3 linked regions of the Drosophila melanogaster genome follow. The gene in region 3 interacts genetically with the main gene of each other region. Each region holds a gene or a part of one and is shown on either strand. Other genes may lie near its edges. The genes, in order: hyx, arm and lgs.

Region 1 (3,756 bases), on a different chromosome or scaffold from region 3:
TCGTCATTGTCCGTCCTTTTAATGGTCGTTCGCTTGTTGGCCAGACGCTTTGCCTTGATGGCGGCGATCTTCTCAACGGACATCGTCTCGGACAGCGACTTGATGTTGTCCATGTTGACAGCGGTCTCCTTCTGGTTGACATCCCATCGGGCGGCCAATTGCTCGCGCACCTTCTGCACTTGAGTCTCCTCGAAGCGGGCCTTCTTGGCAGCCACCTCAACGCTGGAAGGTTCACCCTCGGCGGCACGCTTCACCTGAGTGGGGATTTCCAGCGGGGCACTCTTGTCGATGCTGGCACACGTTGGCGTCTCGCCATTCAGATAGGCCAGGAGCTCTTTACGATCCGGCCGATTCACAGCGGGTATATCCTCGGCGGCGCACTGTCGCACGTAGACCGAGTGTTGCAGCATCACATTCTTGAGCAGGTACAGCAGGCACTCCAGCGTGTAGTACTCACGTGGAGCGCCCTTCTTACCGGATCTAATCGACGGGAGAAAAGTGTAAGAGTTAGTGGCTAATCCTAGTTGTCCCACAGGTCGTCCTGACCGCACTTACCCATATTTGAGATAGTTGGTCTTCACGCTCTTCGGCCAGGAGAACTCGCCGAAGATAATCTGGCTGTCTCGCTCGACAATCTCCTTTTTGTTTATGTTGTACTGCCGAAGCAGGCTGAGCGGATCTGCCATTTTTCTGCCGGTTTTCTGTGTGTTTTCGGGCGGCGGGCGTGTGTGGTCGGTGTCGCTCTGGAAGGCGCGCGGCGGCTACGCACTTTGTAATCCGCGAAAGATATATAAACAACTTCGATTCTCGCTTTTTATGGCATATTTTTAGTTTTTTGCCAGAGGTTGCGTGGAGTGTGACCGTAGGCGGGGTGAAAAATACCAAATATCATAGAGAGTGCATCGCTTCTCATTTGGTATAAATCGCTGAAGTTTCGTCTTTAAAAAATATCGCACTAAGTCACGGCTTTTCGTATCCTGTGATTTGTTAACAATTAGTTTTCTTAATGGCACGTTATACAACGACAACTCTTTAGAACACTTCACATCTTCAGGAATTGGCATCATTAATAAACGAAGTAAATGACTTTTCTAGCGCGTCTAGTGATTTGTTTATTTATAAATATTGTATGGTATATTCTTGTGTGGCAGATGGCAAAGCTGGACTGTCATGTTTAAATACTAACGCGGTCACACTAAAAAAAAGCCTTGCGACCGGCAGCTCCATCCAAATAACAATTAGGCAAAGCTTTAAAATGCATCGCATTTAACGCCTATGATTCCGGAAGTGAGCTAGCCTGCCAATAGCACACGATCGGCTCACGGTGCACATAATATCGAGCTTATGCGAGGGCTGGTCTACGTGAAAATTCAATGCCAAAGAAGCTGTGTGTGTCCTAGTTGTTGTGGCTGTTGTTTCTTGTGCCTTTCGGGAAGCGAAACACGCAATTTGTGATTTTAATTAAGCAATGGGTCAGTCGGCTGGTAAAATAGGTAAGTAAACAAGGCTTGATTTAACATGGGATGTCGCGTAAGGAGGATTTAGCTTGTCTGTCACCTTACAACAAATAAGCCGAATCGCCATAAGTTGGTAAAGTTTCTATTTAAAATGGAATCCTAAAGTTATAGTAAAGTGTATTACAGTTATAAGCCCCGCTTGAATATGAATTAAAAAACTATGGGCATTCCAATAGGTTTGTGACCTTCCCACCACCCACACACTCACATGTTGGCAAACAGCTGATCCCCCTTAGCGATGACACTCGCTGGTTTCGCGTTAGTGTCGATAGTTTTTGTTACTTGATTTTAATCTTACAGGTGTAAAACCTGATTTTAACTATAACATTATTTCTGTTGGGATTTAAAACCTAATATATGATATCTGTGATTTCAAAATATTTCCTATTAGGTTCCTTGAAAATATTTTAAAAGCTCGTGTGATTTTGAAGCTTTTCCATTCACATTCTATCCATATGAAATAAAAAGACCAAAACAAACGTTTAAACGTTTAGAAACTGGTGTAACGTTGTGATAATAAATTAAACTTTATTTATTAGAGGTCATCCCCAAAGAACTGACCATAAAAGCAAAAGATGTATAACCCATGCAAGTACACTTAAACAATTATTCCGAGCCCGCCTATAGAGATATCAAAGTAGTAAGCAGCTTAGGCTACCGAAAAGTCAAAAAAAATAAGGTGGTAAAAATTTAAAAAAGAAGATTTCTACAAATCCCGACATAAAATCAGCTCAGGAAAATAAGTCTGATTGTAGGACGCGAAGCTTGGCGCAATGGACATCGTATCCTTACAGGTGTATTTTACGGGGATTGCAGAACTGCACTTACCTGCTTAACACATCCACATCATCAGGGACTCCATCGAATCGTATCAGCTTCGATTAGACCCAAGATGCCCATGCAGCTGTGGACAATAAATTATAGAGTTTATGGCAATGATTTCTCACAAAACGGGCACAAGACGAAGGACGAAGGATCGCACAAAGGCGGAGGAGAGAATAAGTAAACCCCAATAGGCGCTCGGTTCAGGTAGGATCACCGAGTTGTAACTCCCTGACCCTGAGACAAAGACACATGCTGTGGGCTGGAAACCCGCCAGGAACTTCTTTCTATGACTTGCCAAATGTCCTGTTTGCATCGGAGTAACCGAAAAGATATCTTCCAAGCGCAGATCTCGCATTTTTCATGGGACAAGGGAGGTTTTCCATTTTACGGGCGGGAAAAAACTGCAATATGAAAACCGTGAAAGCCGAAACCCCCTGAAAAGGCAAACATTTGGCCAACAGAACGTATATTTCTCTAACGGAACGCAGTTTCCCCCGCATGTGTTGCATTGGCGGTTATTCCTCGGCGATGTTGATATTTGATTAGCGTACGCACGCGAGGATGCGGAAATGGGAAGTGGATGTGGAAGTTTAAGTTGCAGTTGGCAAATGGGATGCATTCTAGTTCCCTTTTGTTAGATCTTGATCGGAGTTTCGGGATGAAGCCAACTGCTGTCGCAGGTATCCTCAAAATATGGAGGAGTTCCTCTGAATAAGTCAGGTTTTTTGAAGAGAGTATATGGACGGCAAGCAACCCTCGGTATGGGAATCTTTAAGATCTACAAAGACCTTCTTCTTTAAAGCTATGTAGAAGATGTATAATACTATCTTGTCTGCAAAGAAGTATTAGAATTCTATTAGTAGTATCTTAGAATAGTTGTCAACGTGTAATTTTAACCATATCCTCAAACTCTGTTCTCCACAATATAATATGTACAAACATTCACTATACCCTCGATCCTTGCAGACTGGGAATACATATGGGAATACCTCCTCCACTATTGCTCTGTTTCTCAAGTGCTTGCGCAATTTTGGGTTCTGTTCTCCTGAATTCCCTTTTGTGTCCGCAGGATTAGTTCGGGTATTTATACATATGTATGTACATATATATGAAACACGACAACTGCTCCTCAAACGGCTCCTTCATTTTCCTTGGCCTGTCTGAAGTCCTTTCCCTTTTCTTTTCCTTCGAACAGCACTGCCTTTTCCCCATGACCCGTTTGCATATGTGTTTTCTAATTAAACATTGGCATTTGCTACAGTTTTTACTTAATTATGTGTATATTGATCGGCTATCGGCGATCGATGTGAAGAGCCGGGGAATTCTCAGCTGTCTTCCCATCGACAGCTGCCAATTTCTTGTATCTTTTCGTTTATTTTCTTGCACTTCGTCTTTTTTCATTAAATAAATCATA
Region 2 (3,756 bases), on a different chromosome or scaffold from region 3:
TAGACGTGCAGGAGCATGAAACCGGGACTCGAAACCACCGACGAGGTCGAGGAGAATGGCGACGCACTGGATCATCGCGAGGGGGATCCCCGACCGCTGCCCTACGACTTCGAAAAGGAGCTGATCCATAGATCTAACCGGCACATCCGACTTTACGAAACCTTTGTTCCAGTGAGCCAAGGTATGCTAGAGATTTCTGGTTAGCTCGGTATATCATGTTTGAGGACAAGCTTGTTGCATCGTAGCGCTCCTGTAAAAATAAAACTTTAATCATTGAAAGTTTTACAATAGTTTACAAAATTGTTCACTACTGCTAATAATATCTTCTCCTGCCTTCCAGTTCATCCGCTAACACGGAAGTTCTACGCCCAGTATGAGCAACGCCAGCCGACGGATACCTTGAGGTACCTACGGCACACTTGGCCTGAGAAGCATGTGGAGCGTCAGAGGCAGCTCGGAAAAGCTGTTCCGCTCCTGGAGTCGCAGGTGTACGGCTGGTTGCCGCTCAAAAGTGGAGAGCGAGCCGCCGATCTGAACTTTCTGCATGCCAAGAAGGTGCGCTGCGGCATGACTGTTCACGGGGAGCGCTTGGTGGCGGAGAGGATTACGGCGCGTCCTCCGTTTAACGGACTCAGATTCCTGCTTCACTAATCCTACGGCGAAGAAATGTCGCACGCTGACCGCCATTATAAATTTATAATTTTTTTTTTAACATAGTGTTAATTTTTTTTTTGTAAACAAATTAATTATGATTAAAAAGCAAAACTAAGCCACGCTAGATCATTATTAAGAAACGCATCTTGTCTAATTCAAATTTAGTAAAAAAAAAGGTGGCAGCTCTCCCTCGATGATTTAGTTTCAGGGCTACGACGTCGATTATTTTTTGTTTATTTATATTGTTTTCATTTACTGTTGCTTCAAGCAGGCGAATGAACCTGGAACAGACTCCTCCTGTAATGCGCACAGCAACCGCCTGAGATTCTCGCAGTAGCCACGCAACATGGTGGGTACGGGTGTGAGTGAAGTGGGTGTTCCGGCATCTTCGGAAGAATCCGTAGATTTCGGCTGGAATCGGCATCGCAAGTCAAAGGTCGCGTTTCACGGACTCAGTGGCAGCCGGCATCTAATCACTTGGGTTCTTTGACTCACATAATATTCATAACTGATTTGATTTGATCGACTCTGCAGGCTCACTCGAACAAGGCTCGCAAAGCAGCCAAAGAGGCAAACGCCAAGAAGTCTGCGGGATCGGGAACAGAGAGCAAACCGGAGCACGTAAAGATACATGGCCCAGGCGATCGTAGTGCAGGAGTTCTGACTGGCGACCAGTTCCTGGAGAGCTTGCTCCAGACTCTCTACAGGTCATGTATGTCCACTAGTTGAAGTACTATCTGTAAAAGCGCTTAATTGCTTACTGCCACAATTAGTTACTTATATATGTACTACTCTGTACGGTTGTTAACCTGTTTTATGCATCACACCGCGTAACAAAAGTTGCCTTTGTTATAACGTTGCCATATTGCAGGGCTTCAAATCTGCCGCCTGGCAGATTTTGTGATGTCCGAGCTAGGTGGAAATGATTTCCTGGAGGCCACCGCGGCCTGGTGCACCCGGAATCCGCACGTTGCTATCTGCCTGCTAGCTGGTGGTCTTGTATTCATGCTGCCCTTCCTTATAATATTTGGGTTTGGAATAGCCACCATGGTTATGACCTTTACAGGTTTGCTGGTGCTAGAAGGTGCGTTCCGTAGTGTTTACCAGAGATCACGTTCTTATCGACTCGTTTTAGGCACACTCCTGACCATTGTGTCCATGGTGTTCTTCGCCTGCCTGGGAGGACTAGTCATAATGGTACCTCTCTTCGGTGTCGCCGCTGTTGCTGCCTATTTCGGATTTGCCCAGGTGTATGGCCTATGTGATGGAATAGAGATCCATAAGAGCGCGTGGGTCATGTTCTTTAGGGATCAACGGAAGGCCGGCGATCCGCCGCCAGCTGCTGTGACCATAACCGATGAACCCACTTCTACGACTGCATAAACCAATATTGCTTGCCCAACTTAAATATGTATTAAGAAATTAAAGACCAGTGTTTGAATACTTTTGGAAATTTAAAAAGTGCGCTTTCTATTTTGAAGCAAGTTGGCAGCCACCTGCGATAGAGGAGTTATCGGTTATCTGTTCTGCGCTCATATACACAGTTTTCATAGTCGGGGATTTTTGTCGAATTTAAATATCTAAGTGCGTCAAAAGTGCGTTAACCTGCCTTTGAGCAGATAAATTTACTTTCGAAGCGGTAAGTAATAGTAAAGTCATAGATATTTCTTTAATTCGTCGCCCAAAAACAATAGTTTTTGGTCGTACCTGTGTTGTCATACACCCTCATGTACACTCAGGTGCTTGTGTTGGTAAATGTTTATACAAGATAAACGGTGAGTTCGAGATAACATGATAACATGAACTAGAAATAAATTCGCCTTAGCTAAATTATAAATATTGTGAATTGAGTTTCTTAAGGATGAAATGCTATACAAATTTCGTGAGATTTTTGTGTTCTCAGAACAAAAAAAATTTGAAAAATTCCTTTGGCCTATCGCACAGGGCCCATCGAGTTATCGGGACAGCAGCAGGCCATCGCTAGTTGGGTTTCGTCGCCATATACACAGTTTTTCTCGAGCAGACAATTCGCTGTTATTTTGTTTCTTATAGCGTTTTAAATAAATAAATCCTGCTCTAAAGCAGACTTAAATTCCTTGGACGCGGTGAGTACTGTTAGTCGGTAGTGAATCCGTTTGGAAAGCCAAAGTTTCTGTGTGCCATGAAAGTTGGAAAGCCATGGCAAACAAGTCGGCGCGGGGGTGGGCAGGGGTTCGCTGGATGTGCGCCTGTGTATGTGTGTGTGTATGATCTGGATACACACAAACGGCATTTTTATGTATTCCTCCCCCGTAAATCGGGCGCTTGTTTTGTTGCTCGCTGGAATGTAAACAATGCCACAGACAGGAAATCGTTTTCTTCGAATCTAGAGGCAGGCTTATCGTTAGGTGTTTTATCTAATCGACAACTGAAATGGAGTTGGGATTCTTTCTGAGCTGCCTACGCGAGTATGTGTGTGTAGGCACAATCGTTTGGATGTGTGGCAACTCTGCGCAGCACTGCATTTGTATGCTGCACTGCCGCGGCCCTTTACTTTCTCTCCCAGTCTCTTTCCCTGTCCCTTTCCCGCACTCCGCACGCGCGGTGTTGCAAGTGCCTTGCTTTGCTTGCGCTCTCCGCATCTGGATTCTGTTCCGTTTAAACGAGCGTGCTGGTCGGTCGCATTTTCCGCTGCGCCTTTTTCGAGAGAAGTGAAAAATCCATTTTGTTTTTTGTTGGAGTGCATGAGATTTGAAAGAGTGCTAAACAAAGTAATTAAATAACTCAAGGTTCGTGGCCAAAGTCTTCGGCAGGTAGACACACACATACCCACAAATACCCGTTCTACCTGCGTAAGAATGTATTAGTGCGTTTGTTTGTATACGCAGCATATTTCATATTATGCTTCGGCATCTCAAAGCGGAAATGAGTTAAAAAAAAAGACCAACGACTAGAATAAGTGACTAACGGACGATATCTGCGTCTGTTGGCAGTCTGCAAACACAACAAGCCCTTCTTTCCGGGGCCCCCATTTAGTGGAGTTCCGTGGTCTCCATCCGAAGCACACACGAACTCCATGTTATTGACTGTCCAGCACATTACTCATATACTCTCCGTCTCTTT
Region 3 (3,756 bases):
TCTGGAGCGCTTATATGTATATACATATAGCATAGTAAGTTAGTGATTATACATCTTACCTTTTTATTTGCAAAGCAAATGTAATGAATTTGTTTTTTGATTAGCTCATAGACTATCGGACACGAACAAAAAAATTAATTTTTCAAGTTATGTCGTTATTTTTTTTACATAATACTTAATACTATACATTTATACAGTTAAAATCTTTCAAAAAAGTAACTTTCAACCAAATCCGGAAATAAATTCTCAGTACGATTTTCACAAATTGGTTTACCGTGACACACTGCTCCATTGTTTCCAAATCTTAGCGGAACTTTAAACGTGACAAACTTATTTTGAAACATTAGCATTGACTGTTAAAATTGTGATACGTCACCTGGTTCTGGTTAAGTCAAAACAAATTGAACAAAAATTTCTTGGTGATTAAAAATATTTAAATAAATTTATATCTGTACTCTATTGATTTCCTATTGATATTTTGGAACTAAACCTTGGAACCAATCTTGGAAATTATAATTCTTGCGAACGTTCATGGACAGGAACAGGGCGAGACATTTCATTCCAAAGAAACAGTTGGGAAATGAAAACGCTTTAAGTTCTAATTAAAACAACTACCACTAGACTGAAGCTTAAGAAATAAATGCTTAAGCTAAATGTATTATATAATTTTTATTATCTGCAACATTTTAGTGAATAAACAGTTAATAATTGGAGTACATTCAAATTTGTATGTTGTTCTCAGATAGGTGACTGTGGCATGGATAATAGCATTTTCACACAGATACCAATATATCCGTTAAATTCTTAAAGTGAAAATTTTCAAGTTAATTAAAATTATTATGGATTTTTAAAAGAACTTTTTGAGGCAACACTTACTGGTTAGTAATCTATATAATGTAAGCATTAAATCAAACTTTTAACTTATAAGCATTTTATGGAATCATAAATATTCTTAATTGCTTTTAAATAAATTAAATTTAAATTAATAAATTTTAATAAATTAAAATCTCGCTTAGGTGTTTGCGACTATGGAAAACATGCTTAATATCCTAAGACCAAAAAATTTACAAATTTTTTTTTTTTTAATGCGTATCTTGATTTAGAGATTCAAGACCAAAATATATATATATATATATATTAAATAACATTCAAATCATAGAAGCATTTTAAATTAAATTTAATTTAAATTTAAATTAATAAATTTTAATAAATTAAAATCTCGCTTAGGTGTTTGCGACTATGGAAAACATGCTTAATATCCTAGGACCAAAAAATTTACAAATTTTTTTTTTTTTAATGCGTATCTTGATTTAGAGATTCAAGACCAAAATAGCTGTCATATATATATTAAATAACATTCAAATCATAGAAGCAATACTGTTTTGGGATTTGTCTAAGCAACAAACATTTTTGTTTAAATGAAAACATAATTGCATTTCATTTTTTATTCATGAATTAATGCAAAACAAGAGAAAACTCTTTAGTAGATATCCCCGATATGAGATACCCGCAACTCAGCAAGTTTTTTGTTAAGATAAAATGGGAAAAAAGCTAAAATAGCTTTGACAAATGTGGACGTGTCAGTTTTGGGTGGCTTATGGGTGTTTTGCAGACAAATATAAAGGCAGAAACACACGGAAAGACGGACATAGCCAGATCAACTCATCTATAACTATCCTGATAAAGTACATATATCTTTTACTCCACGTGCAATGGGCTATATTATTTGTGAGAACAACACAACGACGCCGGCTGTTCAGATATTTATAAGAGTTTTGCGATATCCCTGTTATTGAGCAAATATAGATAATAAAAAAGCAATAAACGGAACTAAAACTAAGTTTTTTTTTCCAACCAATGTGAAGAAAATTATTACCTCAAATTACAACGGGGACGACAACCACCCAAGAAAAAATATGTTTTTCCATATATATATGCAAATGCTTCGATTTGTAATTCAAAATAATAAAATATGAGATTGCTGACTGAGCTGCATTGGTCTTGCTTAATAGGGTCTTAAATGAGTAGTGGATGTTTTATGGAATACCCTGGTTATTTATGACTTAAAGCTACCAGATCTGGAATTCTAGTATGAAAGTAATAATTATACCAAATTTGGTTTGTTCGAATTATCGCGGTCTGGTCACATATAAGGGTAGTAATTACATTTTTTATATATTAGATTGCTTCTCTTATTATGCGAGCTGTTTATTCCAAAGTATGTTCGCAATTTTCGACTCCTGCTAACATAACGCACGGTTAAAGCAGGAACATTTGGGCCTATAAGCCCAAAATTTCATTAGCTTAATACGATGCTCCGAAGTGTTATTGCATTTGCACATATACATAAAATTGTGACATAGAATAGGAGAATTCCACATACAAATACAAAAATACAAAATCCTCCAGTAAAATTTAAAACGATATCGTGTTTTGCTTCGCGTATCTCACGTGAGATGTAATCGCATGCATATGAGTGGTGAGTGCCTGCGTGCAGTTCCTGGTCTAAATATGCTTAATTGCGTTCGCCGACTTCAAAAGCAATAAAACGATGGATTTTAATTGCTACTTGAGCAATTAGCCACACAAGGGATCTTGGGAAGGTCGATTTGAAGGAATTCGATTTCTAGGATGCTCTCGACAACAATGCCCCGCAGTCCAACCCAACAACAGCCGCAACCAAACTCCGATGCCTCCTCAACAAGTGCATCTGGATCAAATCCTGGAGCAGCGATCGGAAATGGGGACTCGGCGGCGAGCAGAAGTTCTCCGAAGACCCTTAATAGCGAACCCTTTTCTACTTTGTCGCCGGGTAAGACTTGTATTGATTTCTCTTTGTCCGGAATTATAACAACTTTCTGTGTTTCCAGATCAAATAAAATTGACGCCAGAAGAAGGCACTGAGAAAAGCGGACTATCAACTAGTGATAAAGCTGCCACTGGAGGAGCCCCAGGCAGTGGAAATAATCTGCCCGAGGGACAAACTATGCTAAGGCAGAACTCTACGAGCACAATCAACTCGTGCCTAGTCGCTTCTCCACAAAACTCCAGTGAACACTCGAATAGCAGCAATGTGTCTGCTACAGTGGGCCTTACTCAGATGGTAGATTGTGACGAGCAATCGAAGAAAAACAAATGTAGTGTGAAGGACGAGGAAGCTGGTAAGACTGCCCTACAAATGGTTTAAAATTTTAAAATGTATTGGCGTTCACCTTTGTTAATCATTTAATTGTTTTTTTTTTGCTATACTTACAATTTTAGTTTTAAACTTGTAAACTTGACTAAAACTCGCGAAGCTCGGATCAAAACAGACATTTTCTTGGAACCGTAATTAAGCTCATAAAAATATTAATTCATCTTGATGGAATGCATATCATAGATGTACTCAAACATCTCAAGAAAGACCTCAAATTGGATCAACTAATTAGTTTGAGAAAAAATTGCTGTACTTTTAAGAATATATTAATTTAAAAATTTGCTGAGTGAAATGATATAATAGTCACAATAATTTTTAGTTAAACTGCTAAAGCATTTTGAATAGCCGTGCTACGCAGATGCTACTAGACGCGGTGTAAAAGCTAATTTTTATTTAAAAGCTGTCCTAATATTCCATAACCATTAATGTCCCATTTCAGAAATAAGTTCTAATAAAGCAAAAGGTCAAGCAGCTGGTGGCGGCTGCGAAACAGGTTCTACATCCAGTTTGACTGTCAAGGAAGAACCCACCGATGTCTTAGGCAGTTTAGTAAATATGAA

Evidence for each region.
Region 1: of lgs (region 3) and hyx, extra expression of one rescues a mutant of the other (dosage rescue), as found in Drosophila melanogaster (one study listed by BioGRID).
Region 2: of lgs (region 3) and arm, changing one suppresses a phenotype caused by changing the other (phenotypic suppression), as found in Drosophila melanogaster (3 studies listed by BioGRID).

The regions. Positions count from the first base shown.
Region 1 is NT_033777.3:9,036,892-9,040,647, reverse strand, and holds the start of hyx (hyrax), read right to left. Parts: upstream 1,889-3,756; 5' UTR 1,726-1,888; intron 1,494-1,725; coding exon of another isoform or gene 1,469-1,493; exon of another isoform or gene 1,177-1,468; intron 978-1,176; 5' UTR 687-977; coding exon 556-686; intron 481-555; coding exon 1-480.
Region 2 is NC_004354.4:1,899,047-1,902,802, reverse strand, and holds the start of arm (armadillo), read left to right. Parts: upstream 1-2,156; 5' UTR 2,157-2,293; intron 2,294-2,629; exon of another isoform or gene 2,630-2,759; intron 2,760-3,192; exon of another isoform or gene 3,193-3,499; intron 3,500-3,756. Other genes in the region: CG32801 (uncharacterized protein), read left to right, coding at 16-181, 341-651; Ldaf1 (lipid droplet assembly factor 1), read left to right, coding at 1,001-1,090, 1,189-1,366, 1,526-1,738, 1,790-2,037. UniProt on the Drosophila melanogaster protein: Isoform neural may associate with CadN and participate in the transmission of developmental information. Can associate with alpha-catenin.
Region 3 is NC_004353.4:442,269-446,024, reverse strand, and holds the start of lgs (legless), read left to right. Parts: upstream 1-2,113; 5' UTR 2,114-2,631; coding exon 2,632-2,812; intron 2,813-2,870; coding exon 2,871-3,161; intron 3,162-3,635; coding exon 3,636-3,756. UniProt on the Drosophila melanogaster protein: Involved in signal transduction through the Wnt pathway.